4 linked regions of the Notamacropus eugenii genome follow. The protein of the gene in region 1 purifies or fractionates together with the protein of each later gene. This does not show direct contact. Links are inferred from orthologs where the notes say so. Each region holds a gene or a part of one and is shown in the gene's direction. Other genes may lie near its edges. The genes, in order: SIN3B, SUDS3, GATAD1 and SAP130.

Region 1 (7,945 bases):
TGAGAATAGGATTCAGGGAACTACAAAATTAGTAATCTTAATTGTGAATGTAAATGGGATGAACTCACCCATAAAGTGGAAGAGGTTAGCAGAATGGATTAGAAACCAGAATCTAAGAATATGTTGTTTATGAGAAACACGTTTGAAAGAGAAAGATATACACAGAATGAAAATAAGGAGCCAGAGCAGAAGCTTTTATGCTTCAGCTGAAGTAAAAATGGCAGGGGTAGCAATCATGATCTCAGGAATGCACTTAAAAGGAAAAAAGAATAAATACAGAGGCCAAGGACTGAGACCCTATCATAGGGCCAAAAAACCTTAGAGGGGAGAATGCCTTACTCACCTTTCTCTTTACTGATTGTCTCTTACTGTGAGCAGAGTCTCAAATTAGACATAGGAAGTTGCTGAAGCTCAGAGGCTTCTCTGAATGTCTTCATAGCCAACCAAAGAGTCTCCTCCTCAACACATGGCTAGTTAATCAGAACCAATTAATTAATCAATAAACATTTAGAGTTACAGTTACAGAATATAAATGCATCTTCTACAGTTTCTCCAAAGCAATTCCATTTCATGTCTTCTGGAAGCAAGTTTCTTAACCTTCTGTAGGTGAAGAGACAGCATCTAAGGCATTCTGTGCATGTGCTAGACCACCATTACACAAGGAAGACTGTAATTAAGGTCTTTAATTCAAGGGAGACTTGGGGTTTCTGATTGCAATATCATTGTATTATTTTTCAATTTCTGTAACACAGCTGAAGACTTAGTGCTTTATTCTTACAGACACCAAACATCTCTGTAGTTGCAACTATCAAGGAGTCTCATATAATTCCTTTCTCTCCACTCACACTTTCCCAATACTAGTTCAGGACTTCATCACCACTCAGGTAGACTACTGCAACAGTCTCTTACCTTTTTAATTCATGTTCCACAGGGATAACAAGGAGATCTTCTTAAACACGGGTATGATTGTACATGTCTCTCTTCTCTATAAGCTTTAGTATCTCCCTATTGTCTCTAGGATTAAATACATACTCATTTGCTAAGCATTTAAATTCATTCACAGTCTAGCTCCAACCTCTATTTCCATAATGATTATGCATCATTCCCCCCTCACATATTCCACCTGCTTGCTGGAACTATGTCCAATATTCAGTCTCCTGCGTCTATACCTTGGCTCAGACTGTTCTGGGGTCAAGTGCTTTCTTTCCTCACCTGTTTCTTGGAATCCATAATTATTTTCAGGACTTGGCTCCATCAAGAGGTATAGGAGAACTTTCCTGAATCCCCCAGTTAGTGCTTTCCTTGCTCCCCCAAATTATTTTGTATATATGGAGGGTTTGCTTCTTTCCATAGGAGCACTTGCTTTAACAATGACATTATAAGTGGAAGTGGGAACTGAAGAGTTACTTTAGGATGCTCTATCAGGTAAGGCATGAGTTGGTGCTCCTTACCTCTGTTTAGATAGTCCTGCCATGGAGGACACTGTAGTTCTGTGTCCTAAATCTCTTTTAGCACTTCTGTGAATGCATAAATGAAGCTTGTCTTTTCTGGAAAGGCTAGTTTCTGAGTGCCACTACACAAAAACAGATGGAAACTGACAGGGCCCATTTGCTTCAAGCCTTTCATTTTAATACTTAAACTTGAGTCCATCATCAAGAGTTCTGTCAACTTGGATGGGGAAAAAAGTACATCTTTATTTTCACTAACATTTCATTTCTATATAATCCTATGTTATTTTATTTTCTGAATTTAAAAGCATGATTTTAAGAAGGGGTCACAAGCTTCACTAGCCTGTCAAAGGGGTGATGACAAAAAGAGTTAAGACATTGTTTTTGGGCTTCACTCCAGGTTCTGTCTAATCTGTTATTAAGATATGAAAATTTCCATCAATAATTCAACATTTATTTGGCTTGTTTTGTCCCCATTCTCAAAGGAATTTAATGTTCCTTCTAAACCCCAAATTACTTTTTAGGACTTTTTAATGGTTTAGGGAACTTTCAGTGAGGAAATTCCCTCTACTAATTCAGCTTACCCAATCAGCTTTAATTTGAAGTCTTAAAGAGAGTTGGCTAGGGTCCTGAGAAGTTAAGTGACTTGCCAGGGTCGAGGGCCCAAAAGGTCTCACTCACTCAAATATCAGACCACATTTTACTGAATGAAATCAAGTAGAAGGAACAGCAACAGAAATCCTGAATTTTTGACAGGTAGTAACTTCTGGTGAGGTCTAAAATTTTAACTTTCCAGGAGCTTTACTATGTGAAAAAAGAAACAACATAAACTTTGAGAATTCCTAATAGAGGGGCATCTTAGTAATGGCTCAGCTCTCAACTTTCATTTTCAGTATGGTTGGGTATTTCCCAGGCAAACCTGAGTACCTTCCTAGCAAAGCATCCTGGTATTAAAAAAATACTTTTTAGTGAAAACATTTTCTTCAGTAACATAGCAAGAACAGCAGCTACAAGGTATTTCCCCTGCATACCTGAGGTACACTCTCCCACAAATGACACAGAGACCATATGAGGAAGGGAGACCACAAACATAATAAAATGGTAATGAGGCACATGTTTGGGGAACACACAGGACCAAGGAAACTCACAACTCTAGAATGGCAGGGCCTCAAATAGCCTTTCTTTCTCTGGACAATCCACACAGGCGGGCAAGCTAGGCAAAGCTGGCAACAAATACTTCACAAAGAGCTTGGAGAAGATGGTTGGGTGCCATCATATATCTATTTTTGATTGTGTTTTTGGCATCCCTACTATGCAAACTGCCAAGTCCTCATTATCAGAATGCCTTTGGGCCATTTTTGACTTGTGGATGCAGAAGAGTCAGAATCCCCAGAAATAAGCCAAGAGTTTCAGAGACATACATACACACACGGAGCATCATCCTTTTTGAGGATTTCCGTTGAAGCTTTGCACAATTCTCCCATTTATAACCGTCTTTCCACTCCAACTTTTTTATTTTTGACACTTAATAGAAATTAAAGGGGAAAATACTGAATCCTTATGATTTGCAAAGTGATACAGCAGGTAGGTGTTACACACATATGTATTTGTGTGTATGTATAAATCGGGGCAGCTAGGTGGCATAATATGTAAAGTGCTGGGCATGAAGTCAAGAAGACGAGTTCAAATTTAGCCTCAAACACTTACTAGCTGTGTAACCCTGGCAAGTCACTTGTTTGCCTCAGTTTTCTCATTTGTAAAATCAACTGGAGAAGGAAATGGCAAACCACTCCAGTACTTTCGCCAAGAAAACTCCAAATGGGTCACGAAGATTTGGACATGACTGAACATTTATCTGTGTACCTGCTTTTCCTCCAAGCAGAATATAAACCCCTTGAGGAACATGCCTATTTTATTTCTCTTTCTGTATCTCCAGTCTCTGGCTAAGTAGATGACCCATTTAAAAGATTTCGGACCAGTCCTGCAATTTTAGTGGTATAGGACTGCCTAAGAAGCAACTAGCCTACCCATGCTGGCAGACACTTGCTCTACATCTCATGATCACAGAGCAGGGGTTTCACACATACCCAGGATAAGCTCAGGGAGTTCCTAAGTTCATCCCATGAACTTGGATGGAGACTTCTAAGTAAAATGTAGCATTTCCTTCAATTACTTAAAAATATTATTCTGGAAAGGGGTCCATAGACTTCCCCAGATTGCCAAAAGACAGGGGTAAGTGAAAAATGGGTGGCACTGGCAGAGAGAGGTTCTAAGTGACTCGCCACAGCCGGTAAGGTTCAGAGGCATGACTTGAATCCTGGTCCGCCTAACTGGAAGATATTTCTGCATGCTCTGTGCCAAGCTGAATGGCACACAGTAGGCACTTCACAAGATTCAGACGGCTAGCATCTATACAGCGCCTGCTTTACATGGGGACAACCCTGGGAGGCACGTTATCCCCACTTTACGGGGGAGGAAATTGAAGATAAGCGCCTTGGAGGGGTCCCACAGCTGGTAAGTGTTTGCGGCCCAAACGGACCACGCCAGGCCGGGCCGGGCCGGGCCGGGCCGTCTACACGCGGAGCTGCCAGAGGCGTGGGGGTGGGGAGGCTCGCCCAACAGGGGGTCACGGTTGAGCTGCTTCTCCCTCTTCTGTGTCGCTCGTGTAAGTGACCGCTAATAGAAAGGAACAATTACGGGCTGCCCGGATGAACCACGCCGTCACCGAACCCGAGGTGCAGATCGGAAGCCCGCTGAAGGCGGCGACAGCCCCCCACCGAGCGGGCACAGCCGCCCCCAACGCCCAAGTCTGGCCCAGCAGGTCGGGCCGGGCGGGCTCGGGGGCCGGCTCCGAGGTGTGGCTGGGGGGGGGGGGGGGCTCTGTCCTGATGGCCTGCCCCTCCCGGGGGCCGTCACGAGGAGGGGGCACCACGAGCTCAGCCCAGGGCTTCCGCCGAAGTCCAGTCAATGCCCACGAAGGACAGGGCGCGCGAGGGGCCTGCCTGGGCCGAGGGAGAAGCTCGAACCTCGCCTCGTGGCAGGCAGGGCGGCCCTCCCGCCTCACACCCACCACCCGCATTCCGCCCGCTGGGCCCCGCCCATGGGCGGGCCCAACGCGCTGACGTCGCGCACGCGCACTGACGTGCCCGGGGCGGGGTCGCTCCTGTGCCCAGTTCCAATATGGCGAGCGGCGGCGGCGGCGGCGGCGGTGCCGGGCCCGGGGCCGGAGCCGGGGGCCGAGGGATGAGCGGCGCCCGTTGGGGCCGCGCGGGGCCCACCGCGCAGGAGAAGCTGCCTGTGCACGTGAGTGCGCGCCATCCTTCCCTCCTGACCCGCCCGCATCCCATAGCAACCGTCGCCTCCCCTCCCCCCCGGCGCTCGTGCCCCGTGGCCCCCTCTCCTCACCGCCCCTGCGCCTGGACGGGCCGCACGCGCCCCCCCCTCCGGGCCTGCGCCGCCCCGCCCCCCTCCCCCTGCACGTCCCCATTCGGGGGTCCCCTTCTGTCGCCAGTATTCCCTTACCCCTTCAAGGCCCCCCTTCTCGTCTTTCCTCCCTCCCCCCTAGTGCCCCCTTCCCGTCTTCCTCCGTAGCCCCTCCCCAACGCCCTCTCTGCAGAGCCCCGCCCCAGTGCCCCCACTCTCCTCTTTCCCCCTGCACACCCTCTCCCCAGTGCCCGTTCTGTCATCCGCACAGCCCCTCCCCTGCGCTCCCATTTTCCCTTTCCCTCCATTCCTTGCTCAGTCGCCAGCATCCTTGTCCTCTCCTCCCCCAGTGCCACAGGGTCCCCATTAGCAGAGCCCCAGTACCTCCTCTCCACTCTTGGCCTCCTTTTCCAAAATTGCACCCTCCTGTCTCTGTCTCTGTCTGTCTATCTGTCTCTGTCTGTCTGTCTGTATGTCCCTGTGTCTCTGTCTCTGTCTCTCTCTGTCTCTGTCTCTCTGTCTCTCTCTCTCTCTCTCTCTCTCTCTCTCTCTCTCTCTCTCTCTCTCTCTCGATGGGCTCCTGCTTTTGGCACAGCAGCCATCCTGGCAGTGCCTCACTTCTCCCACCTGGGGTCGGTTGTCCCTTTCGTTTCATTGCTACCTCCCTCCCCAGTCTGAGCTGCCCTTCTCTCCCAAAGTTGAGGTCCGTTTTCCTCTCACAACCTCATTCCATCCTTCAGATCCCATCCGCCAGCTGTTATCTCCCAGAGTTCTACTGGCTTCATGTATTAAGGTTCTAACCTAACTGTCTTTCCCCTTGTTCCAAGCCCAGTTCTTCACCCCACGACCCATCCCTTCCTCAAAGTCTAGCCTCTCCTCCAACACCTAGCTACCCTTAACCTCAAAGACCAGGCCCAGGTTTTTTCCCACTCACTTCCCCATCCCCTTTTCCTCACCTTTCTGTGGTTCCTGTCTCCACCCTCCCCCTTGGTTTTCAATTTTTCCCATTCACTCTTGGAGGCCAAGATGCCTTGCTCCTTCCATAACCTTACTGTGTATCTGCAGGTAGAGGATGCCCTCTCCTATCTGGATCAGGTGAAGATCCGATTTGGGAGTGACCCTGCCACCTACAATGGCTTCCTGGAGATCATGAAAGAGTTCAAGAGCCAAAGGTAATAATGCTGGAGTCCTTATGTAAGACCCTGGCCCCTCACTCACTGTGGAGGAGTACAGAATGTAGAGCTGGAGGGGACTCAGGAACATTGAGTCTCAGTTCAGGTTCTTCGTTTTAAAGATCAGGAAATTGAGACTGGTTAAATCTATTGCCCAAGTTCACACAGGTAGAGAGGCATCCTGGGGTAGTGGATAAAGTACTGAACTTGGGAGTCAAGAAGACCTGAGTTCAAATCAAGCCTGAAATACATGCCAACTGTGCATTCTTGGCCAGGTCATTGAAATATCTCCCAGCTTTAGTTTACTTCTTTGTAAAATGAGGCTGTTGAAGTCTGTCCAGCCTACCTCACTGTATAAAAAGGTGCTATGTGAGTAACATTTGGGATCTGAAACCAGCTTCTGTGCTAAGAGCTAGAGCTAAAAAAAAAGAAGCAAAATCAGTCCTTGCTTTCAGGGAGCTTACATTCTAATGGGAAAGACAACATGTACATATATGCCTTTCTGCAAGATACATATGAAGTACACACTCAGTAACCTTAGAAGGGAAGACCTGAAGGAGGTGGGCAGCCAGAGCTGGTCTTGAAGGAAGCCAGGAATTCTAAAGGGAGGAGGTGAAAAAGAAAACCATTCTAGACATGGAGTATTATGTAGTAGTAATAGCTAGCCTCAGCATTTGCAAAGTGTTAGTCATGTTATCTCATTTGATCCTCACAACGCTTTGGAGTAGGTGCTCTTATTCTCATTTTACAGATGAGAAAAGTGAGGCAGAAAGAGGTTAATTGACTTGGTAGGGTCACAAAGCTAATAAACGGCTGATTTTGAACACTCTTCCCCACTGCACCCCTTAGCTGCCTGTATGAGAAGAATAGCCAAGAGTCCTGTTGGATTTGACCTTAGAGTCCCTGGAAGGTAATAATCTGTTAGAAGGATGAAAAGATAGGAAGGGTCCAGATTGCGAGGAGGTTTAAATGGCAAACAGGAGTTTATATTTGGTCTTTCAAGTAATGGGCAGTTGTTGGACTTTGGGTTGGTGACCTGGTCACACATGCAATTTAGGAAAACATTTTGTGGGCTGTGGGTCAGAGTTGGAGAAGCCCGGAGGCCAGCAGGAACGCAGGCCAGTTAGCCTGGGGCAGGGTTGCAAAGGGAAGAGTTGTGGAAAAATGAGGAGGCGGGACTTTGATGGCCTCCAGAGCCGCTTCTAGTTCATCTTCTGTGTTTTAGAGGATGTTGACAAACCTCTTGGTATTTTTTAGCCTGGTCTCTAACCTTCTGCCGAGTTAGTTTGAGGAGCACTGTGCTAGCCAAGCACTGTACTAGGCCCTTAGAGTCCACATGCAAAAAGTGAGTTGTTGCCCATGAGCTTTACAAGGGAGGGGAGTTTTGTTGTCAGAAATCTCTGGGACTGTGAACAGAGCCTTTGGGCAGTTGCTTATCATGCCCTTTCCAGAAGCCAAGGTAACATTGATTTGGTGACTGTTTCTAGAGCAGAAGTTTTGTGAAGCATAGTTTGGTATGAGTTAGATGAGTTTGCACTCACCAGTGGGAAGGAAAGGGTAGGGCTCTGGGGTCTGGTCTAGAGGTGTGTTATAGGTGAGGAGGGGGCAGTCAGTGACTCTTTCTGTTCTTTATTGCCACCTTAACCATCCAGTTTGTGAAAAAGTTACGTTCCAGAGTTGGAGGTATTCCCCTATTCAGGGCTCCTTATTGGTAAAATATCAGCACTTTGGGGTGGGGGGGGTTTAAAGAGAATACAGTTCAAATTAGCCAACATTTTAAGCACTTAATTTTTTTCAAGCACTGTGCTGGGCACCTGTGACACAAGACAAAACAGAAACAATCTGTATCTACAAGCATTGTACCGTTTCTGTAGTTCTTCAAGACTTATGTTTTTCTTTTCT
Region 2 (7,915 bases), about 33 Mb from region 1:
CTCCTCTCCTCTACACGTATTTTCCTTGCACCCTGGTCACCAGAGCTCCCCAGGGTGGCATTTCATAGCATCAGTCATTGTCAAGTTGTGAGTTTTGAACCTGTGTCATCAACCACATAGTTAGGGAGGAATGATGGGAAAGGAACACTGTTACTAGTAAGTGACCTTTGGCAAAATTGTATTTAATTTCCAAATAAACAATGTTACTGTAACAATATACAAGTTTTCCAGTTATGTTGTAACCAATTTTTTTCTTCCAGAGTTGTTTGTATTCGAAAGTGCTCTCCCCAACTTCCCATTTCTTTTCTCCTTTCCCCTCCTTTTTGCTCCCTTTCTTTTCTTCCCCCACCTCCAGAGTCTTCTCCCTTCCTTTTGAGAAAGTTCTCCTTTTCACAACTTTGGGAGTCCTGTCTGTCTGCTTATAAAGCACACCTAATACCTAGACAAAGGGACGGACAGATCAGCTTTACACGAATGAAAGGTCAATCCAGAATGCAGCATAATATAGTTTGACTCCACACAGGAATATGATTCTTTCTGTCTCTAGGCATGATGCTCTATCCATTGAGCCACCTAGCTCCTTCCCATCCCCCCTTTTTTTTGGTTACTGGTAAAAATCATCTGGGAAATATTCCTTCCTAGCCTTTTGCCCCCCTCCCCCTGCTTTGCCCTCTGCTAAGCTGAAGGAGGGAGGATTGGGTTGTTAATAAAGCCCTGATATTTATTTACCTCCTACTTGCCTTGTATTGAATGCCTGATATTCAAAACAGTAGATAGGAAGTATAGACTTTTGCTTTTCTTTTTCTGATTCTGTACTGGGTGGGGCCATGGAACATAGAATGCCTGTCACTACCCTTCTTTATAGGTCAAAGAATAACTGTCTCTCCTCATCCTCAAGTTGTAACACTGCAGCATATCTTGGACTCATCTGGAAACACTCTACTTTTAATCAATTTTGGCATAAATTCCAATCTATGTACTAGCCTTGACAAGTATGCATTTATGACAGTCTTTACCATTAATCGGATTTGCCCGTTGCAGTCTGAATGGTGAGAGTGTTTGTTTTGCATTTGGGGTTGTTTCTTTGGTTTTTGATGCCCGTGCTTTTCAAATTTGGGATTTAGAAAACAACGTATAGGCATGTAAAACATTCTTTAATTACTTTTAAACCTTATTCTCTTCCTCTTTAAATCAACATTTGTATTTGGGGATATGGAAGTGTCCTAGGTAGATACTGATGGTACCAAAAGTTTCATTGAAATGAATTTCTTAGGAGAGGGCAGGTAACCTGACCTAGCAGAGTATTTGAACACTGTTTTGGGTTGAGGATAGGAAGAAGAGGAATTTCAGTGATTTCTTGAGATATTACATCAAGAAGATAGTGTGGAGGATGGATTTGGGGAAATTCCTCTTTGGGGAGAGCGGGTGAGTTGTTTATGACAAAATGAAAGCAGATGATGAGGAATTTAGGTGCAAATAGAACACACATACACAATCTTTTCCTGAAGTCTGTAGTCAAATTTGGAATCTTGAGTTTAAAAATAGAGAAGTGGGGTAGTGAGCCCTGAGATTGACACTGGTTCAGTAACATTGTTAGAATTTGAGAAATTCCTGGAAAAACATTGTAAAATTAGAATATAATTTAAGATTCACCCCATTCTGGACAAGATTATATTTGAGTATCTTTTCTGGGCAGACAAATGCTTGGTAATACTATCAGAAAAGACTGGGGTTTACATTGGAATAAGGCATGAAACTGCAATCTGAAAACAAACAGAGGAAAAGTTTGGCACAATGAAAGGCCAAGTTAGGCTGAATCAGGGGTGGGGAGCTCTAATTCTGGAGGCCTTCTAGGTCCTTGGGTACTGCCTTTTGACTGAGTGCAAGTTGTACCAAACAAATCCCTTTGGGATCACTGTGAGATTTGGGTTCAGTCAAAGGGCTGCACTTGAGGGCCTAGGGGACCACATGTGGCCTCAGGGCCGAAGATTCCCCACCCCTGGTCTGGATAGAGTCAAGGTTGGGAATTCAGAATCCTTGGGTTCCACCCCTGCCTTTGCTATTACTTTGTTTCATTTTCCCCTCTCCATAAAGTAAAAAAAAAAAATTATTTATTTATTTATTTTTTTTACTAAATTTGGTGCAAACATCTGTGGAGATATGTTCATGGTAAATTGTGTGTCATTTTGTTCTAGCTTTGCCTTGACCTTGGGCTAAACCACTTAGCTCTTCTCAAGGCAGCAGTTTCTTTATCTGTCCTATGAAAGGTTTGGTCTGGAATTATCTGAGCCCCCTTCCGGGCCCCTTAATAAAAGAATCAGCAAATATTTGCTTCATCCAGCTCTGCAATAGGTCATAAGTAACATAAGCAATCAGGATGAATTCATGTGCAAATTTAAATTTTTAGGTAAACCCTCCTTTCTAAGGAAAATGCCCACATTAGTTTGTTCTAACAAGTGTAACAAGATCTCATAGGTAACCCTGATTGGCTGTATGGTTAACAGGGCAGTAGATGGGGGCGAAACTTTTTTTTTGTTTATTGTTCAGTCCTGTCTTACTCTCAGTGACCCCATTTGAGGTTTTATAGGCAAAGATACTGTAGTGGTTTGCCATTTCCTTCTCCAGTTTATTTTACAGATGAGGAAAGTGAGGTAAACAGGGTGAAGTGACTTGCTCAGAGTCACTCAGCTAGTAAGTGCCTGTGGTCACATTTGAACTCAGGAAGATGATTCTTTCTGTCTCTAGGCATGGTGCTCTATCCACTGAGCCACCTAGCTCCTCCCCATCCTCTCTTTTTTGGTTACTGGTAAAAATCATCTGGAAAACATTCCTTCCTAGCCTTTTGCCCCGCCCCTCCACCTTTGCCCTCTGTTAAGCTGAAAATATTTGAATTGAGTTGTTTAATAAAGCCGTGATATTTATTTACCTCTTACTTGTCCTGTATTGAATGCCTGATATTCAAAGCAGTAGATCAGAAGTACAGACTTTTGATTTTCTTTTTCTGATTCTACACTGGGTGGGGCCATAGAAGATAGAATGCCAGAGCTGGGAGGGCCCAGGAGGACCCAGGCCTGCTGTGCTTTGAAGTGAGAGTCTAAGGACTTGGGAGGGAACCCAGGTTCTGCCGGTTACCGTCTCTGGACAAGTCAGTCAAGTCAAGAAGCATTTTATTAGGCTCCTCTTATGTGCTTGGCATTGTGCTAAGTGCTGGGGATACAGAGAAACCCTTCCACACCCAAAAAAGGCCCTGCTCTGAAGGAGTTCACAATGTCCTGGGCTTTCAGTTTTCTTCTTCAAAAGAGGGGCTTGAAATAGATGTAAAATGGAGACAATAAGTCTGGGAATATCTGCCTCCCCAGGTTCTTGTGGGGCTGCCATGAGATAAAGTCAGTCAAATACATTGTAAACTCTAATGTGGCACATAAATATCAGTTATTCTTTCCCTAAGAACCTGCCTCAGCCTTTTAGAACCTCTCGGGTGCTGTGTTCTCAAATGACAGCTCTTTCAAGAGGCCTTTCCTGCTTGGACACCTTCCTCTTCCCATTAATAATCATAATGATAATTACACCAATAATAATAGATAGCATTTATATAGTGGTTACTATCTGGCAGGCACTTAGCTAAGCACTTTACAATTATAGGGGGGCGGGGTGGGAAAGGAGAGGCTATTGTTATCCCCATTTTACAGAAGAGGAAACTGAGTCAGATAGTGATTTGCCCAGGGTCATTCAGCTAGTGTTTGAGGTTATATTTGAACTCAGGTCTTCCGGACTCCCCACCTGGTGCTCTATCCACTGCGCCCAGTAACGTGGTATTTGTTCTTTGTGAAGTTCGTTCATCGTCTGTCACTACTTACATCCTCCGTTTTCTATTTACTTTGCTATGAACTTGACTTCCCTCAGAATGTCAGTTTCTTGAGGACAGGGACTGTTTCCTTTGTGTCCTTGTCTTCCCCGGCACCTGGCACACAGAAGGAGTTTAATACTTGCCCGATCAGTTATTAGCCTAAAGGTCCCTTCCAGCTCTCCATAGACATCCAGACCTGGAAGGGATCTTAGACCCGCATGGGTCTAATCTGGTTTTCTTAACCTGGATTCCTCGGGACTCCCCAGCTCCATTCTAATCTTCAAGGACAGCCTTTATGTAAACGCTAGGAAGTCTGCAAAAAGCAGCTAAGCGCCTGTCGTTGGCACCTCTGCCGCAGCCTCCGGAGAAGGCAGCTACGGGAATCAGCGTGCCCATTCTACAGATGGGCACAGAGGGGTCTGGCCACCCCCGAACCCCCCAGGAATCCGAGACTCTCCTGGGCTGGCGTCCCGGGTTACCTTTCCTCCCAGCCCCATCCTCTGGCTTCCCGCCCGTAAGCGTTTGAACTTGGAGACCCGGGGCGGGGGCGGTGATCTTGACCCGGACTCGCAGCCCGGGCTCCGGCGCCGCCTCGTGGCCACTGGGGGAGGAGCGTCCTGGAGCTCCAAGGAGAGAGAGGCGGGGAGGGGCGGGGAGCGGAGGAGGAGCGGGTCCTGACCGCTCCGCGAGGCACCGCTCGCTTCGCCTGCTCATGCATAATCATGATTCCCACCCCTGGGGCTGCTAGAGCCGTCTGCACGGACCCGGCTGAGGTGGGAGCGAGAAGCGTCATGAACTCAGGTGAGGAGCTGGGGGTCTTCGCTTTTCTAGGCTGGGCGGGGCGGGGCAGGGAGCGGGCGGGATCAGGCGCGCGCCGGGCAGCCCGTGACCCGGAAGCAGCCGCGCGAGGGCCCCGTTGCCGAGCGCGAGCGCCGGGGGCGGGGCTTGGAAGCGGCGGCGGAGGCTGCTGAGGAGGAGGCGGCTCAGGAGGAGGCGGCTGAGGAGAAGGAGGAGGAGGAGGAGGAGGAGGAGGCGGCGGCGGCGGCGGCGGCGGCTGCTGAGGCGGCCGAGGCGGCCGCTCCCTGGGCTCCCTTCGCGTCCCTGAGTCCGAGGCCGACACCTCCCGCGGCCCCAGGCCCGGGCGGCGGCGCCATGAGCGCGGCCGGGCTGCTGGCCCCGGCCCCGGCCGGAGCGCCACCCGCCCCGGAGTACTACCCGGAGGAGGAGGAGGAGCTGGAGAGCGCCGAGGACGACGAGCGGAGCTGCCGCGGCCGCGAGTCCGACGAAGGTGCCGCCCGCCGGGCCGGGGGAGGGGAGCGAGCGAGAGAGAGCTGGGCGTCCAGCCTCGGCGCCTTTGCCCAAGTCGGGCCCCACGCCTGCAGTGCGCTCTCCTCGCCTCGGGCTGGGTCCAGACGTTCTCAGAGTGGTCTGGGGATGGGAGGGGGGCAGCCTTGTCAAAACTTTTTATTTCTGTTGTGGTAAATATCGATAGACTCCACTCGAGCCACAACTCTTTTGGGGGGAGGGAGTCCCTCAAATTTTAATCCTGGGACCGAAAAGTTGGAGAATCGTCGAATGAAAACTAGAGCCGTGAAGGAACCTCGGAGACCATGTCGAACCAGTTACCTTTGTTTGCAGCAGGGGAAACTGAGACCCATCCTTTCCTTAGAGCTTTTTAGAATCTCTAGATTTTACCTACTTAATTCTAAAGCTACTAATTGTGTCGTCAACAAGCATTTATTAAACACTCGCTGTTTGCTCGGCTGGCTCTTGGGCCAAGCCTCAGGAATCCTAATAAAAGCAAAACAAACACTCTGCCCGCTGGGAGCTTCCATTCTAATGGGGGAGACACCATATAAGGGGGGCTGGAAAGGGGTAGGTGTAAGCCCCCGGGGGGGGAAGTCCTTTCCTGGGCCCTTCCCCCTGCCTGCTGCTGGTGTCTCTTTTCAAATTACTTTGTATTTACTCTGGTATTTTCTATCCCCGACAAATTAGGCCCCTCCCCACAGTATTTACTTTGTATAGTTGCTTTGTAACATTGTTTCCCTCTGTAGAATCCTGTGCTCCGTAGTCATTTCTTAAAGCACTTACTGTGTGCTACGTTCTGGCGTGACAGGGAATGTGTTAAGAAGAATATAAGCTTCTTGAGCACAAAGGCTCTAATGTCATTTCCGTAAAAATAATTTTAGAAACCACAGGAAACGTTTAAATATGAAAAATAAACAAAAGCTAGATGGCCCAGTAGATAAAATGCTGGGCCTAGAGTAGAGCTGAATTCAAATTTGGCCTAAGACATTTCTTAGCTTGTGATCCTGGGCAAGTCACTTCACTTAGATTGCCTCAGTTTCTTCATCTGTAAAATGAGCTGTAGAAGGAAATTGCAGACCACTCCAGGATCTCTGTCAAGAGAACCCCAAATGGGGTCATGACAGACAAGACTGAAAATGACTGAACAAAATCAAACGATGAGTATGATAGTAGTATCTACCTCCCAGGGTTGTTGTGAGGACCAAAGGAGATAATATTTGTGAAGCTCCTCCATCCTAGCTATTATTATTGTTATTATTTGCTGTGTGGTGAAGACACCAATATCCAGCCTCTTGCTGTGTGACCAGAGAGGGGGGAAGACGTAGGGAGGATCTGGATTCTAGTGATGGCTTTCCCTGGGCACTTAACCTCACTGTGCCTTAAGGCACCTCTCTTAAGACTAAGTTGTAGGAACAATCTTGAGTGTGTTTTGTGTGGGCCAGTTCTGGGTTCCCCTGCCCTCTAGGAGCCCACATTTCAAGGGGCTGAGGCAGGAGACCCGCTGCAGTTGTGTATTTGTTTCCATTGATGAAGGAGATATCACTCACAGGAGTACTCTGTGGTGATTGTTTCCACAGCCCAAAAACATCCCTAGAACCTTGCCTGGTGGAAGATGTATAATAAATACTTAGTGAATAAGTAAATGACTTTTAATACTTTGCAGAGCTTTCACCTGGAAGTCAGATTAGATTTCTTCTGCTAGGTGGCACAGTTGAGAGAGCAGGGGTGGAGAACTTTCTATTTCAAGGCCACATGTGGTCCTCTAGGCCCTCAAGTGTGACCTTTTGAACTGATTCCAAACTTCTTGTTCTGTGAAGTTTGGATTCAGTCAAAGGGCTGCACTTGAGGACCTAGAGGGCCATGTATGTCTTTGAAGCTGCAGGTTCCCCACCTTTGAGAGCATAAGACTTAAAGTCAAGACCTGAGTTTGAATTCTTTTTCTCGCACTCAGTGGGTATGTGATCTTGGGCAGATCACTCAGCCTCTGCCTGTCTCACCGTCCTCTTTTGTAAGATTTGGATAATAACAATGCGTCCCTTGAAGTATTATTATGTGACTCAAAGTAAAGTGCTCTGCAAATCTTAAAGATTTGCTGTTTTATTTTAAACCTTAGCTTTAAAGGACTATATCCAAAGTACCTGTCATTGGCCCTGCAGTGGGTAAAAGCTGCAAAGAGGCAAATTTGGCTTTTACCTAAGAACTTCCTAAGGACTTCTTCATGAGTAGAATGACTTCTATTCTAGCTTCCAGCATCTGAAACACTGGCAGTCTTCTGGCTTTGGTGTCTCTGTTGGTTATGATGTAGAGAGAATTTTCATTTGTATTTGGTACTCTCTGAGGGTTATTCTAATTCTGAGATTCCTGGATTTAGAACCTGGGGGTAGGAAGTTTAGCTATTTTAGGATTATGGAGATTAGAGCTGGAATACTATAATAGCTAGCATTTAGTGAACTCAGAGATTAACAACCCAGTTCCCTCATTTTACAGATGAGGAAACTGAAGCCCAGGTTGTGACTTGCCTAAGGTCACACAGCTAGGAAATGACAAAACTGGAAATTGAGTGAGAATCCTTTTTGATTTCAAATTCAGTATGGCTTAGTATCAGTATGACATACATGTATTATACTTTTCCTTGCCAGTTTTTGGACCATCTCTGTCTCTTCTCTAACCTCTATTATTGCTGGATGGCTGAGCATTTCTGTTAATTAGCATTCAGAGACACTTGCTATTGTTCCCTAGACTTAAAGCTAAAAGAAACCT
Region 3 (7,655 bases), on another chromosome or scaffold:
AAAGGGCTCCCCAGTGGCAGTGGGAATTATTCTAAACCCTCTGACACCAACCCACCCCAGGGCTGGGCCTTTTACCTCTCAAGTAGCAAGGAAGGTGCTATCCCTCCCACATAAGAGAAACCCATCCAGGGTATATAAAATAGGAGTCACTTGGATCATACTTTCTTTCCAAATCAAGCCCCAAGTGAGGATCCCCTAGGAGATTCACATTTGTGTCAACAAGGACTGGATTAGCATTTATTGTACCTGAAGCACACAGAAGATGGTCACAGGATCACAGATTTAAAGCTCCAAAAAACCCTAGAGACTATCTAGTCCAAGGGTGGGGAACCTATGTCCTCGAGGCCACATGTGGCCCTCCAGATTCTCAAGTATAGCTGCTTGAATCCAAACTTCACAGAATAATAAAAGGATGTGCTCTGTAAAACTTGGACTCAGTCAAAAGTCCATACCCAAAAACCCAGAAAGTCACACGTGGCCTTGAAGATGAAGGTTCTTCACCCCTGTTTTTAGTCCAATCTATTTTTACAGATGAGGAAACGGAGTTTAGAAGGGACTGATTACATAGCTAATGGGGCTATCCAACACTCCACAGTAGGCTTTTTGCTATCAATGGCTTATAAAGATAAGAATATAAGGATATTAGATTCTGAAGACCCAGGACCACTGGACTAAATTGTTCCATGCTGCAGAGTGTTTCAAGTCTTTAAGAGGAAAATTTTGATCCACTTTATGTGACAACTGAAACAACTTTAAAATGTTTTTTTCCCCCAACTTCTTTCTCAGTTTTCTCCTTCTGTGTTACATTAAAGGGCACTGTTATCCTAGAAATTAGTTCTGGGGTATTCTATGGGAAAATATGGGGTGTAGCTTATCTTATAGCAGAGTTGTTGCTAAGAGAATGAACAGGAAAAGACTTCATCCCTATAGTTTAGGAGTGGACCAGCTAGGTGGGATGACTGGTGAGGTCATGAAAGCCGAGGCCAGTGGATTAACTGAACTTGAGAGTTCAGAGCTACAGAGGGGCTAAAGCTGATTAACTGGCCCAGATCTGGGGGGAAAAAACAACAGAATAGGTTAAAGCTTCTGTGACAATCAGTATTGAGCCTGAGTCCATAAGTGGCCCCTGCCCTTCCAGCCTAGATGAGACTGGTAGATTCACTCCTAAAATAAAAAAGTAAATGAAAAAGATTGAATTCACACTCAAATGCCCTCTGACTCATTTGGCAACTAGACAGCTGAAAGGAAGTAATCCCTCCTTAAAGTTCATGTTTAAAGAGAGTGTTAGGACTGGTAAATCATTTACAAGCATCAGCTCATTATCTCAACAGGTGCTGCTATTATTTCCACTTTTACAGATATGAAAACTGAAACGCAGCCACGTTAAAGTAACTTACCTAGGTCTTACCTTACCTTATCTTTATAGCTAGTAAGTAAGTAAGCAAGATTGGATTTTGTTAGAATATAAATTCCAAGAGACTAGGGGTTGCCTCCTTCTTGGCATAATGCCTAAAGGGCCCCAGGTAGGTGCTTAATAAATACTTATTGATTCCAACCTAGTTGTTTGAGTGCTCTAACCACTTAGCCACACTACTACCTGTCTAATTAAGAAAATGTTTGCTGTGAGGTTCAGTAGACACATATCGCACGAGTACAAACACTTTTGGCTTTTGGAAAGACAAGGAAGGCTCCCAAAGAGGAAGGAAATAGCAAGATATCATCTTTCTCTCTCCTCTTCCTTCCCTCTGAATTCTTTCCCGTCTCCCAAATTCCTCTTCCCATAACTGAGCAAACAAGTAAGATAACATAAAGCAGTTCACTGCCACCGCCACCAAGGACACTAAAGACCCTTAACTCTAAGGTCAAGTCACTTGCATTGTAGAAAACAACCAAAGCAAACATACAGTTTTGACAGTGGTTTCCTCCCGTTCCATTGCCATAACTGATCTGAGACAGCGATCTTAGCATCTGATTGCTTTTCCTTTCCTACAGAAGATAACTATTTATCAAAACAGTCAAACAGAATTATATAAGAAAGCAGAATACAGTTTTAAATACAGAAATGTTGTATTAGGTTTTAGTTGTTTTTCAGTCATATCTGACTCTGTGACTGTATTTGGGGTTTTCTAAGCAAAGATACTGGAGTGGTCTGCTTCCATCTCCAGCTCATCTGACACATAAGAAACAGGCAAACAGGGACAAGTGACTTGCCCGGGGTCACACAGCTACTAAGTGTCTGAGGCCAGATTTGGACTCAGGTCCTCCTGACTCCAGACCCAGTGTTCTATCTACTCTACCATGTAGTTACCCCTTGTCTATTAAATTTTGAGTTGGTCCAATGTTTTAGCCTGCCAAGATCTTTTTGTCTAGTGTGGTATCCTTCCTACTTTGTGTCATCTGGAAGTTTGACACATATGCTATGGTTATGGATGAGAAGCCAAGAATCCAACATAAATCCCTCCAACATAAATCCCTGGGGCACTCTACTGGAGACCTCTTTCTAAGAGACATCAAACCAGTCAGGAGTACTATTAGGATAGAGCCATTCAACTGGTTCCAATGTGTATACTATCATCTAGCTCACATCTTGCCATGTGGTCCACAAGAAAATCATGAAAGTCTTTATCAAATGCTTTTCTACAATCTAGATAAACTACACCTACAGCATTCTTCTGATCTATCAGTCTCAGGTTAGTCTGTAATGACATATTCTTGATGAAATCATGAACAGAAAGACTTTTTATGGAGGGGAATTAGAGGACAATCCACCGGTCCTGGCACAGCAGGTATTTGGGATGACAGGTCACTTATATTGTGATCAACAATTCTTGGAACAAGTACAACAAGTCTACGGATCAATAAATAAACATTTGTTAAGTATCTCCTATATGCCAGACACCTTGCTAAACACTAGAGATACAAAACGAGGCAAAAGACAGACAGTCCCTGCCTTCAAGAAACTTATAATCTTGGTCTACGTCAAGAATTCTTAATCTTTGCGTTTTATTGACCCCCTTTGGCTGTCTGGACCCCTCCTCAGAACAATATTTTAAAATGCATAAAATAAAATACATGTCATTACAAAAGAAATCAATCATACTACCATATAGCTATCATAAATTAAAAAAAAAAAAGTACAAGAGCCCCAAGTTAAGAATCCCTGGTCTAGAACAACTACCAGCCTTCCCCCTCCTCTCTGATATCCTTCACCTGCCTATCTCCCATTTCCCAATCCAGGAAAACTCAGAAGTAACTGAGTCTAGCAATCATAAAGTGAGGTGAGGATGGCTGAATAGCACCCTGAAAATAGTCTTTACTCACCCACACGTGGAAAAGGGAAGTTAAGGGCAAGAAGAAAAGGAGTCATCAAAACATCCCTCCTGTCCACCTCTATGTGAAAGCTCTGTGCTAAATTCTTGTTAAGGACAGTTGGGGTGCAACTGGTGATCCATTCAGAGTTGTGATTCCTACGATGCAGTGGCAGTTGTAAAATGCACCTACACAAAATTTGTACAGAAGTATAGGTGAGTATCTGCTGAGTGCTCTAGTGCCCCTTTCCGGGCTTCAGTTTCTTCATCTAATACATGTATCTTATTCAACTTCGCTGAATGCAGTAAGAGAATGCTTTTATTCTCAGGGGATTCCCTTCTCCCTTCTCCAGTCTCCCACACCTAAACCTCCCCCACCTTTCTCAGCTGAGCAAACAGAGGCCACTCCACATGTCCTCTTCCTGGCCATGTGATGGAAGGATCTCCAGAACCCGACAATGAGGTGGCCCTCGTCCTTACCAAGACCAGCTTCTCTCTGTGTGCGCTGACCCCACTCTTTCCCCATTCTCCAGCAGGCTACAACCTCAACTGTGCCCTTCCCCCACCTTCCAGCTCTCCCTAGCTCCTCTCCTATTACCTTCAGCACACCCAAGCCTCTCCCATGCTTACAAAAAATGTCATTCGACCTCCCCCTGGCCGGGGCTTGGTGCTCGCTGCCTCTCTCCTTTCTGGGCCGGACTTCGGGAGAAAAGCAACCTCCGGAATCCCTGGTAATCATCCAGGTTACCAGGTAAGATCCGGACAGCTCAGCCCGCTGGGCTCTTCTCAGGCCTCCTCCCCCTTGTGAGTCACCGTTCTCTCCCGGTCATCCAGCGGCACCCCCTAAACGCGGTAAGTCTTGGGGATCTCCTCGGCTCACCTCCATGCCCACAACAACCAGCTGCACGTTGGGCATTCAGCCTGCGTGTCCCAAAGACCTGTCACACTCAACATGCTCACGAAGGACCCCGTCATCTCCCCCCACCCCGCTTCTATCTCACACCCACTGCTGGCCTCTCAGCGGGGCACCGCCGCGGACCCCGCCACCCGACACCCCAGGGACTCGCCGCAGCCCCAGCCACCAGGGAAGCCCTTCCTTCCTTTCCAGGGCAGCCCCACCTGCCTCCTTCCGGACCGCTGCCCTTGGGCCGACCCCCTGCGGTCCACCCCTCTCCTCACCTACCCTTCGGGACACACCTTGCGCACCCCCGTCTCCACGGAGACTTGGCCGGGCCCTCCTCTCTAGCTCCCACGTGTCTACCTGCGCAGTGTTTATCCTGGAAACACGTGTGTCCTGGAGATTGCTTTGTTTCATTTCTATCCCCGGCACGGATCCTAGCGCCCCGTATACAGCAGGTGTGTAATAAATGCTCCTCGCGGCCCGGCTTGCGTGGTAGAGGTCACTGGCGTGGAAAAGGGTAACTATCACCTGGAGCGGCCCTCCTTCACCCGCGGCTGGAAGGAGCCGTCCAGGCCACCGGGTCCGCCCAGGACCGACCGGGACCAGGCTTTCACAGACCAGGAATCTTGGGCCTGCGGAGGGAAAGCGGTCCCGGGTCGCAGAGATGACAGCGGGCAGGGCGGGCAGGGCCGGGATTGTAACCCGGGTCTTTCGGCTTGGAATCCCGCGCTCCTTGCCCCTCCCCCCCGCCCCTCAGGGTCTCGGTGACCGGTGGGTGGCTGCCCGAAGGGGGCGGAACAGGCAGGGAGGGAGGCGCAGCCGAGCGAGTCCTCCGACCTGCAGGGGGCGCCCGCCCGCCGCCGCAGCCCCGGAACGCCAGGCCTCCCGGGCACCTCCGCTCCTTCCCCGCTTCCTCCCGGCCGGCCGAGGCGACCACGGCGACGGGCGCGTCGGCCCCACGGTCGCGATTCCCGTGTCGCTGAGGCCCCGGGGGCCGCCCGCGCCGTCGGCCGCCATGCCGCTGGGCCTAAAGCCCACGTGCAGCGTGTGCCGGACCACGTCGTCGTCCATGTGGAAGAAGGGCGCGCAGGGCGAGATTCTCTGCAACCACTGCACGGGCCGCGGGGGGGCCGCCGGGGGCGCGGGCGCGGGCGCGGCGGGCGGGGCCGCGGGCCTAGCGGGCGGCGGGGGCGCGTCCGGCGCGGGGACGGGCACGGCGGGCGGCGGGGGCGCGCCCGGCGGCGGCGGCGGGCACGGCGGGCCGGGCTCGGGCTTCCCCGGCCCCTCGGCCGCGGCCTCGCAGCAGAGCAATGGCGGCGGCGGGGGCGGCAAGCAGGTGAGCGGCGGGGCGGGGCCGGGGGCGGGGCGAGGCCCTGGGGGCGGGGCCGGGGAGGTCGGCTCGAGGCGCGGCCCCGCGCCAGGGCCCTCCGCCCCCGCCGGCTAACGGTGGCCGCTCGCGCCGGCTCCTTGATGTGTCCGCGGCAGAGCAAGCAGGAGATTCACCGGCGCTCGGCGCGCCTCCGCAACACCAAGTACAAGTCGGCCCCGGCGGCCGAGAAGAAGGTGTCCACCAAGGGCAAGGGCCGCAGGCACATCTTCAAGCTGAAGAACGTGAGTCGGGTGGCCCTGCCTGGGGCGGGCCGGGGAGGGAGGAGGAAGGGGGGAGGGGCGGAGGGGAAAGAATCCCCCCCCCTCCTCCCCCCTCCCCCGCGCGTGCCTCGCGTTCTGACGTGTGTAGGTGTACGCGTGTCCGTGTATGCACACATATGCGCATGCGTGTGTGACTGATGCATCTGTGTATGCAGGTAGTGTGCATACATGTACAAGCACGTGTCTGTGTGCACATGTGGTTCTGGTGTGCATGTGCGCTGTGCGCTTACATATATGTGATAACATCTGGCATAGAGTATCTCTATATTCTTTACGACGTAAGCTTTACGCCTAGGCGTAATACGTGCCAGGCCCGATGACCTCATTTGATCCCCGACAACCCTGGCAGGCCGGTGCCCCGCACCCGGCTCGTAGGCCTGGGGCTGCCGCAGAGGAGCCCCCCGTAGCCACCCTCTCACCAGGGGGTTTCTGCAGACATGAGATGTTTGCCTAGTGCACCCCCACACGGATTCCTGAGGTCCAATTGAGGAGCTGTTCTGCTAAGGATGTTAGTAACGAGAGACCACAGAAGCCACAGGCTGCTCCTGGTTCTTGTTGGTGCAACATGCAGGGAGTATAAAGTTATGAAAACTGCCTGGTTTCCCTGAGTTAAGGTTGAGGAAGCTCCATCTTTTCCTTGACGGCAACTGAATTTTGCTAGGAGTTGCAGGATGTCGTGGAAAAGCATTTTACTTGGCTGTTGTCCTTTTATAAGTCATCTTCTACGTGCAGTGTCAATGAACAGTGTCTTTTTCCTTTAAAAAAAATTTACTTATGAAGAACTTGTTTGAACAAATAACAGAATAATCCCCCGATACGACCATGTAGGGCAGCTGGGAGGCAGCAGAGTACAGAATGTGCTGGGCCCAGAGTCAGGAAGAACTGAGTTCAGATGTGACTGACATTCAGTAGCTGTTGGGCAAGTCTCTTAACTTGTCTGCCCCAGTGTCCTCAAATGGGGGTAATGAAAAGCACTTCACCCCCAAGGTTGTTGTGAGGATCAAGCGAGGTCATATTTGTAAAGTACTTAGCACACAGAAAGTGCAGAATAGTTGTAGATCTGCATTTGTAGGACGGGAGAGCTTCCTTCTGTACCTTATAGCTCTTCCAAAATCCCAGCTACTCAAACTCTTGTACTAGTTTCTGTGGCTTAAAAAATGTCCCTAGCATCTCTCTTTAAAAAGTGATGATTTTGCTTTTTTTTTTTTTTAGCCCATTAAAGCTCCTGAAGCAGTTTCTACCATCATTACTGCAGAATCAATATTTCACAAGGTAAACATGAATTCTTTCTCTATGAAGGCTTCAGTCTTTTGTTTAAGGTGCTATTTAAGACTGCTTTTTATCAAGATGTGCACAGTTAGCTGTTTGAAGCTGAAATGATCTTTTTTTCTTTTATAAAATATCTCTGTGATAAAATGTTCCCTCCACTAAAAAGGTGATTCTGAGTTTAGGGGACCCTTCCCCAGGCCTAGTGTTAAGGGGGAACAGGATAGAAGTTTTCTGAGAAGATTCAGATATGGGGACACATTTTTAAATTCTAGGAGACAGATGTGGGTGTTGACTAAAAATGAAAGTGTATATTTCGAGACTGTAGAGCAGATATAATAAGGAAGTATGATGGCAGGTAGGCAGGAGAAACAAAGGAAGTGTCAGTTCAGAGGTGCACAGGGCTGTCCTCCAATGTTAGGGTGCTGCATCATCCACAAAAGCAGACAGTGACCAGACCACAAGAGAGTTTCCATTTTTACTGGAACAAATGGTATCCTATTTCAGAAAGGTAAAAGTGGAGAAGTGTA
Region 4 (7,835 bases), on another chromosome or scaffold:
CAATCTGATATGGGCTATACCTGTAAAATCATATTAAACATATCTCCATATTAGTCATATTATGATAGTTGAATCAGAACAATAAGGAAAAACTGAGAGAAAAAAAAAACAGTATGCTTCAAACTGCATTCTGACTCCATAGTTCTTTCTCTGGATGTGGATATGGCATTTTCTATTATGAATCTTTTGCGACTGCGTTAGATCGTTGCATTGCTGAGAAGAGGTAAGGCTATCAAAGGTGGTCATCCCACAATGTTGCTGTTACTGTGTACAGTATTCTCCTGGTTCTGCTCCTTTCACTCAGCATCAGTTCATGTAAGTCTTTCCAGGATTTTCTGAAATCTGCCTGCTCATCATTTCTTATGGAACAATAGTATTCCTTTATATTCATATACCAGAATTTGTTCAGTCATTCTCCAATTGATGTGCACCCCCTCAATTTTCAGTTCTTGGCCATCATAAAAAGAGTTGCTATAAATATTTTTGCACATATGGGTCCTTTCTCCTTTTTTATGATCTCTTTGGAATACAGACTTTATTGCTGGATCAAAGGGTATGGATAGTTTTATAGCCCTTTGGGCATAGTTCCAAATTACTCTCCAGAATGGCTGGATCAATTTACAACTCCACCACCAACAATGTATTAGTGTTCCAATTTTCCCACATCTTCTCCAGTTTAATTAATACTTATTACAAATGTGGTTCTAGAGTCACCTATTCATTTCAACACAAACTATTAAGCACCTTGTATAAGTAGGAAGTACAACTTTAATTAGACAAAAGTAGGCTTTTCAAACCTAAATGTGGCAAAATCAAGCATCAAGGAATAGGTCAAAAGAATAAATTTTCTTTTAAAAATGTTTTGTTTATATCTTTTTTTTCTGTTTATGTAACCTACATTTCCCAATTTATTTCCCTCTGCCTTCTAAACTGCCATCTCTTATTAAAAAGAAAAATGAAGGCAAAAATAAAAAACGTTTAGCAAAAGCAAAAACATGTCTGACATCTGTAGTATTCCACACCTATAATCATTCACCATTGCAAAAAAAGTACCTTCCCAAATATTTTTTGGAGCTGAGCTCAGACAGTGTAATTTCACAGCATTCTTTTTCAATAGATTCTTGCACTGTCTTTGTATATATTGTTTTCTTGGTTCTATTTCACTTTGCATTTTTAGAAATTAAAATGTCACAGCATTATGAAAAGTTTTAACCTTGAGAACCCCCTGAAAGGGTCTCAGGGACTCCTGGGGTCCCCAAATCACACTTTGAGAAGCACTGGGTTAGATCAGTGCAGAAGTAGGAAGCAGAACTATGAACAGACACAGAATAGTGAAAAGTGAGTTAAAGTAAAAACAGAAAGTCAAAGTTAGCCTTCCTTATACAGTGACAGGTAAAATGTTGAAAAGATAGTGTTGAAAGAAGCTATTAAAATTGGAAATAACTGTATTGCTTTAAAATTGCTCCACACTATTTCTCTGTGTTTCTACCTAGACAAAGGGAAACAGCCTGGTGTTGTAGAAAGGGTACAAGACTTTGAATCTCCTTGACTCTGCCCATAGCTATGGGATCGTAACCAAATTGTAACCAAACTTCTCTAGGCCTTACTTTCCATGTCTATAAAACAAATAAGACTAAATCATCTGGAAGTCCCTCCTGGATCTAAAAGTCTATAATCCTAGGCACACTGATGCAGACAAGATCCTGGATTTACTTTCTCAATCACCATTAGCAGACTGGTCCCCAAAACACGGCCGATTACATCTCTCCTTCAGGCAGAGGTTCCTTCTAATGCAGTTGGCTCAAACCCTTCAAACCCTGCAATCCAACATCGTTCCTGTTGAAATTGCCTGTCATGTCAATTACCTTCTACAAAGAGATATTTACCAAGAAGGTACGGCAAGGATACAACCCTGCTGAGCTAGGAGCACATTCTGCCCTAATCAAAGGCGATCATATTAAAAAAAAAATTTTTTTTTAAAGCTCTTAGCACAGTGCTTGACACAAACTAGGCGCTATCGTGCAGTAGATGGAGAAGTGGTGTTGGGGTCAGGCAGCCCTGAGTCCGTACGTGACCTCAGACACTGAATAGCTGTGTGATCCTGGGCCAATCACGTAACCTCCGTCTGCCTCACTTGATAGCGCACCTGCCTTCCCAGGGCTGCTGTGGTCAAGATAAAACGAGGTCAGTATCTAGCAAGCATTCTGCAGACCTCAGTGCGCTGCATGAAGGCTACTGTCCTTATCGTTATTAACCACCTCGGTCCTCGGGGAGCCGATGCTTGAGGTGTTGAACTGCTGAGGCGTCCAGGGCTCTCGGTCCCACCCCACCCCTTGCAGAAAACTTTACTGAACTTCCATAACGTGGAGGACACCGGCTCTGGGTCAGGAGGGATAAAACGCCTTGGGAACGGGTTTTCTCGAGATGCAGGCGAGAGCAGCGGGACATCCTTCGCCTCTGCCGCCAGCGCTGCGGGGCCGGGGTGGCCATCCCCGCTGACAGGCACCCGCCACGTGCAACGGATCCCGGGAGATGAAGAGGATACATTAAAAACGAACCCCAAGCCCCACCTCCCCATCTGCCCTTTAAAGGAAAGCGTGGAATGGGGCTCGTTTGGAGTCCCATCTTCCCCACTCCCCCTTACGTGGCCCGCCATGCAAGTGACAAATCCAGGGCCCGCGGTTCGGGGGCCTGGAGGAGAAGGCGGAGCTCCAGCGCTAGATCCGGTCGCCTTTTCTCAGTTGGGTAGGGGGAGGAGAGGGTAGCATGAAGTGAAAAGCGGCTCGATTAGAGCCAATGGAAGACTGCAAAGGGGGGCGTGACGCAGGACTGGCGGCTGTGCCCGCCCTTTCGCCCACTCGTACCCTCCCAGTCACGCCCCCTTGTCAGGAAAAACTACAAGACCCAGAATGCCCTATCACCCCGGGCTGGGACATCCCTCCCCTGACGATCCCACCTTCTGGCTAACGCCACGCTCTCAGTGGCTCAACTCGAGGTGGGCGGTGCCAGCCCCAACCAATGGGCGGGCGTCTCGGTGCGGCGGCGGAAGCGGCGGTGCTAGGTTGAGAGGAGAGCTAGCCGCGGCCGCCGCGGCGGGTCCAGAGCCCCGGGGACTAAGACGCCTGAGAGGCGCCGCTAGGAAAGGCAGAGAACAACACGGAGAAGGCAGAACGGAGGAGCGGCGGCTCCGCGCTTCGGAGTCCAGGTAGTGGCGGGAGGAGGGGATCCGGGGAGGGGGCGGGGCAGCCGGGCCGGGCCAGGGTTGCGGCGTCCGCTCTGCCGAGGGTCCCCTGGGAAAGGTGGCCCCGACGAAGCGTAGTCGGCTTGGTCCTTCGCCAGGTATCGCACCGCTTAGGAAGTTGTGGGGTCCTGTCAGTAGCCTGGGATAGGGCGGTTAGTCCCGGCAGTTGAAGCTGCGAGGAGCCTCTGCCCCCGGCTTGGGGTGCCCCGCGGCAAAGAGGCGGGGTCTGGGCCTTGGGCCGACTGGCTCTGGGTCTGGCTTTGATGGGTAGAAGACAGGGAGATTGGCCGGGCGGGGGGCGGTGGCGGAGGCAGTTTGGCTCACAGAGCAGTTTAAAGTGACTATCTACATCCGGGACCTGCGCCCGCCGCTTTCAGACCCAGGCAAAGGCGGGGCCTCCCTCCCCGCCCCCCCGCCCCTTCTCATTGGACGAGCCATCTCTCCTCTTCTATTGGTCGCGGGGTCGTGAAATTTGGGTAGCCCTGCCAGAGCCCCTAGCTTGATTAGTCGAGGTTCGATGGGAGGGTGGGGCTAGGGCGCCGAGGTTGATGCTGGATTGGAGCCCGAGCCCGTGTGACGCCTTCGGCGCCGGGCCAATAGGCGGGCGGTGGGAAGGGGAGGGGCAGGTTCTTGGGGAGAAAGCTGGAACCAAATACTGAAACTGCTCTAGTAACTGGGGTGTTTGCTGGGCCGGAGCCGGTGTCACGGGGACCGAAAGACTGTATTGGCTATGGGGAAGGGGCCCTCCTGCTTCCCTCCCTGGTTCCTTTGTGAGTCCGCTTCCCGGACTGGGATCTGATGGAAAAAAGAGTGGGCAGGAGCTAGAAAGAAGCTTCTGGGGCAGACGGCAGACGGCAGACGGCAGACAGGCGGCAGGGTACAGGAGCTAGTTATCTTGGGAAGACCTGAACCTGTTCTTCCCTCGCTGGAAGAGCCAGGCTGGAGCACCCCAGAGAGAGGAGGCGGGACAGCCCTGTCATCCGATCCATTCATTGGTTTGGGTGGGGAAGGAAGCACCTGAGCATTTAGAGTTAAAACGTGCTTGGAAACAGATTTTAGAGGAGTCTATTAGAATAAATGTGAGGGGAAGGGAAAAGGAAATCTTTAAATCTAGGTCTTGCAAACAGAGCCATTGACTGATCTCCTTTTGGTCAAATCTTGCTGTGAGATGTCTGTGACTCTATATCTCTCTGCACCACGGAACCTTTCAGTGACATGGAGATATAAAATCTCTTTACTGTCAAGTTAGAAATTGCTAAAGGCTGGTTTTCTCAAAAACACACATTTCTTTGACTATGATGTGTGCATTACCAAAGTGTGCTTCCTATATATACTTTCCTTTAATGTAGAAAAATCCCCCACCTAGTTATGGTACCTTAGTGCAAATCGAAATACATGAAATAAGATCATGGGGTGGTTAAGAGTTGTATTTTAGGTAGGATATAATTAACAGAGTAATATATTTCTTGTTGGGAAGCCTAGATTTTATTCCCATTTCTCCCAGCTGAGTGAATCCTGAATGACTCTGCCTTTTAATTTTCTCTGATTGTTCAAAGGAAGTACCTTTTTTTAATGGCTTGAAATAACATCTTTGGATGGAGTTAAAATACAAAGTATGATTTAAAATTTTTTCTCGCAAAGCCTTAAATGATTTGCTTTTGTTCTTGTTATTTGCAAACTTGTAAAAATCTTTAAAGACAAGGCAGAGTTCTTAATTGATTAGCATTTAGTGAGGTGCCATGTGCCCTGTGAGTACTCCATAAAGTTTCAAGAATACCTACTTGTTGATTGTTACACACACACACACACACACACACACACACACACACACACACACAATCACAATTAATGAAGACTCTATTGTGTCTTTCCCAAGCAGGTTTTATTATTCGCTGAATTTTTTGGCTATAAAGCCTATTTGCAGAAATTCCTGTGTTAAGCTAAAATATGCCAGAAAGTCTTGTATGTTGGCTAGTATAATTCTTACCTAAAAACCTTAAAGGTGATTTAAAAGAGTTAGCTAAAAGTATAGATGACATAAAACTGGGAGCAGTGGCTTATCCACTGACTGCAAGGATGAATCCAAAATATCTTGGCGGGCTAAGGTCGCTCAGGTCAAAAAATAAATGTTGCTAGTACAAGATGAGGGAGATAGAACTAGGCTAGTTCATCGGAAAGTGGTCTTGGGGGAGAGACTTAGTTGACTGCAAGCTCAACATGAGATGATAACCTAGTATGGATATCAAAAAAGGGCAATTTTGGGCTGCATTATTAGAGATATGGTATCTAAGACTGTGGGGTGAGAGTATTGTACCCATATCAGGCCTCATCATAGAGAATTGCCATTGTCAGTTCTTGACACCACTTTCAGGAAGAACATTTTTAACTAGAAATCATCTAGAGGAAGGCAACAAGATTATTTGATGAAACACTCAACATCCTACCATATGCACATCTTTGGAACTGAAGATGTTTTTCCTGGAGAAGAGAAGACTTATGGAGGACATGATTATTGTAGTGTCAAGTATTTGAAATGCTGGCCTATAGAAAAGGGAATAGACTTCTTTTGTTTTTCTAGAAGTCAGAGGTGGGAATAGTGAATAGAAATTTCAAAGAAGCAGATTTAAATTTGATTTAAGGAAGAAAAATAAAAGCTATATGAAAAAGTGGAAGGGTTACCTCAGGAGGAAGTGGGTTCCCTCTCTGGAGGTTTTCAAGAAAAGATTGGATGACCATTTGTTGAGTATGTTGTGGAAGGGATTCTTATTTAAGTTGAGGTTGGACTAGACAAGCTCTGAGTTCCTTTCCAACACTGAGATCTGTGATTCTGCATTGTAATTATTGGGAAAAGTAAGAAGTAATAGTAAAAATGTTAAAATTTTAGTTTTGACATTAAAAAAAATTTCTTTTTTGGCATGAGTAAATGGCTGAATTTCTGAAATGGCAGGCATCCAAATATGCTGGAAGAATTTTTTCAGGCTTGAAAAACCCGAAAACTACTTAATTATCTTCATATCTATCAAGGATATATTTCTGAATACTTCCCGGAGAATTTTAAAATAAAGTGTTTTTGCAAACATGCCCCAGAGTAGATAGGTCCTGTAGATCCCTTTATGATGAGAAAAATATTACAGTGATTTGATTAAAGATAAGACATAAACTTAGCTATGGGCAGCTAGGTGGTTCAGTGGATAGAGCACCAGACTTGGAATCAGGGGGACCTGAGTTCAAATCCACCATCAGACACTTAGTAGTTTCTGTAACACCTTGGGCAAGTAACTTAACCCTTTTTGCCTAAATTCCCTCATCTGTAAAATGAGCTGGAGAAGGAAATGGCAAACCACTCCAGTATCTTTGCCAAGAAAACCCCAAATGGGGTTATGAAGAGTCAGAACAACTGAACAACCATAGACATAAATGGACTAGAGTAATTTGTTAGCTTTTTTCTACTTGGTTATAGAAATTCAGGTAGCATTTCCCATTTGAAAATTATTTAGTTTTTCAGCTGATGTTTTGTCTAGTTGAGATAAGTTATTTAGTTATTCTAACAATTAAGGTAATGTCATTTTAAGGTTTAAACTCAGTGGTACCAACTGTAGATATGTGTAACATCCTGCATCTCCAGATCAAATTGTAACAGTGTGACTGTATTTTGCAGGTAGAAATGAGTTCTCAACAGTTTCCTCGTTCAGGAGCCCCTTCTGCAGGGCTAGGCCAAGCTCCCTCACAAATTTCCAACAGTGCATCTACAGGGCTGATAAACCCAACAGCTACAGGTAAGGCGTTTTTAAGTGTTCTCTTATTTGCCTTAATAAGCTTGCCAGTTTTAGTGTTCAGAATTAGGCAGAAAATTAGGCAGATTCTACAACTAGGTGATGGAGTGCAGCCAGGAAGGCCTGAGTTTTGAATCTAGTCTCAGACACTAGGTATGTGACTTTGGGCAAACCACTTGACCTTTATGTGCCTCACTTTCCTCATTTGTAAAATGGGAATAATCTTAATAGCTCTCAGGGTCATTTGGAGGATCAAATGAGATAATATTTAAAGCATTTTGCAAAAGCACTATAGATTGCTGTCATCATCTTCATTATCATGTTATTTATAATTGATTGAAACAACTAAAATTTATAAGCTCCAACTAAAATGCAATTCTGTAAGCATTTATGAAAAGATTACTATATGCCAGATGGAAAACATAATGGTATAATAGATAAAGAGCAGGCTTTGGGGTAGTGGGTTCAAGTCCTACCTTTGACACTTGCAGGCTATGTGACCATGGACAATTTAACTTCTCAGTGCCCCAGACAACACTCTAAAAGTCAGAGAAGAGATGCTAATCTGTATCCATAGAGCTAACATTTGACATTTTCCCTATACCAGTAAAATCATAAGTCAGTTCAAAAAGCAAAAGGAACCAGGCACATCCTCAGATGTGTACTAGGGATATGAAGACAACAATACCCTCATGGACCTTACACCCTGATGTGGGGGTACAGCATATCCACAAATGGGTATTGTAAAGGAAATTTGAGGGGAGAGAGAAAAAGAACACTTACAGCTGGGAGGGGTAGGGAAGAATGTAGTAGGGCTTCAT

The links.
Region 2: the proteins of SIN3B (region 1) and SUDS3 purify together in Homo sapiens (affinity purification with mass spectrometry; 3 studies listed by BioGRID and IntAct, counting the BioPlex papers as one, with this or other methods). This does not show direct contact. The link is inferred for Notamacropus eugenii from reciprocal best matches to the Homo sapiens genes SIN3B and SUDS3.
Region 3: the proteins of SIN3B (region 1) and GATAD1 purify together in Homo sapiens (affinity purification with mass spectrometry; 5 studies listed by BioGRID and IntAct, with this or other methods). This does not show direct contact. The link is inferred for Notamacropus eugenii from reciprocal best matches to the Homo sapiens genes SIN3B and GATAD1.
Region 4: the proteins of SIN3B (region 1) and SAP130 purify together in Homo sapiens (affinity purification with mass spectrometry; 3 studies listed by BioGRID and IntAct, with this or other methods). This does not show direct contact. The link is inferred for Notamacropus eugenii from reciprocal best matches to the Homo sapiens genes SIN3B and SAP130.

Annotation. Positions count from the first base shown.
Region 1 is NC_092875.1:60,073,443-60,081,387, forward strand, and holds the start of SIN3B (paired amphipathic helix protein Sin3b), read left to right. Parts: upstream 1-4,942; 5' UTR 4,943-5,343; coding exon 5,344-5,664; intron 5,665-5,936; coding exon 5,937-6,043; intron 6,044-7,945.
Region 2 is NC_092875.1:27,137,287-27,145,201, reverse strand, and holds the start of SUDS3 (sin3 histone deacetylase corepressor complex component SDS3), read left to right. Parts: upstream 1-4,904; 5' UTR 4,905-4,999; coding exon 5,000-5,135; intron 5,136-7,915.
Region 3 is NC_092874.1:47,953,847-47,961,501, reverse strand, and holds the start of GATAD1 (GATA zinc finger domain-containing protein 1), read left to right. Parts: upstream 1-4,644; 5' UTR 4,645-4,873; coding exon 4,874-5,545; intron 5,546-5,694; coding exon 5,695-5,820; intron 5,821-7,071; coding exon 7,072-7,131; intron 7,132-7,655. UniProt on the Homo sapiens protein: Component of some chromatin complex recruited to chromatin sites methylated 'Lys-4' of histone H3 (H3K4me), with a preference for trimethylated form (H3K4me3).
Region 4 is NC_092876.1:320,134,669-320,142,503, reverse strand, and holds the start of SAP130 (histone deacetylase complex subunit SAP130), read left to right. Parts: upstream 1-4,831; 5' UTR 4,832-4,836; coding exon 4,837-4,854; intron 4,855-6,899; coding exon 6,900-7,017; intron 7,018-7,835. UniProt on the Homo sapiens protein: Acts as a transcriptional repressor. May function in the assembly and/or enzymatic activity of the mSin3A corepressor complex or in mediating interactions between the complex and other regulatory complexes.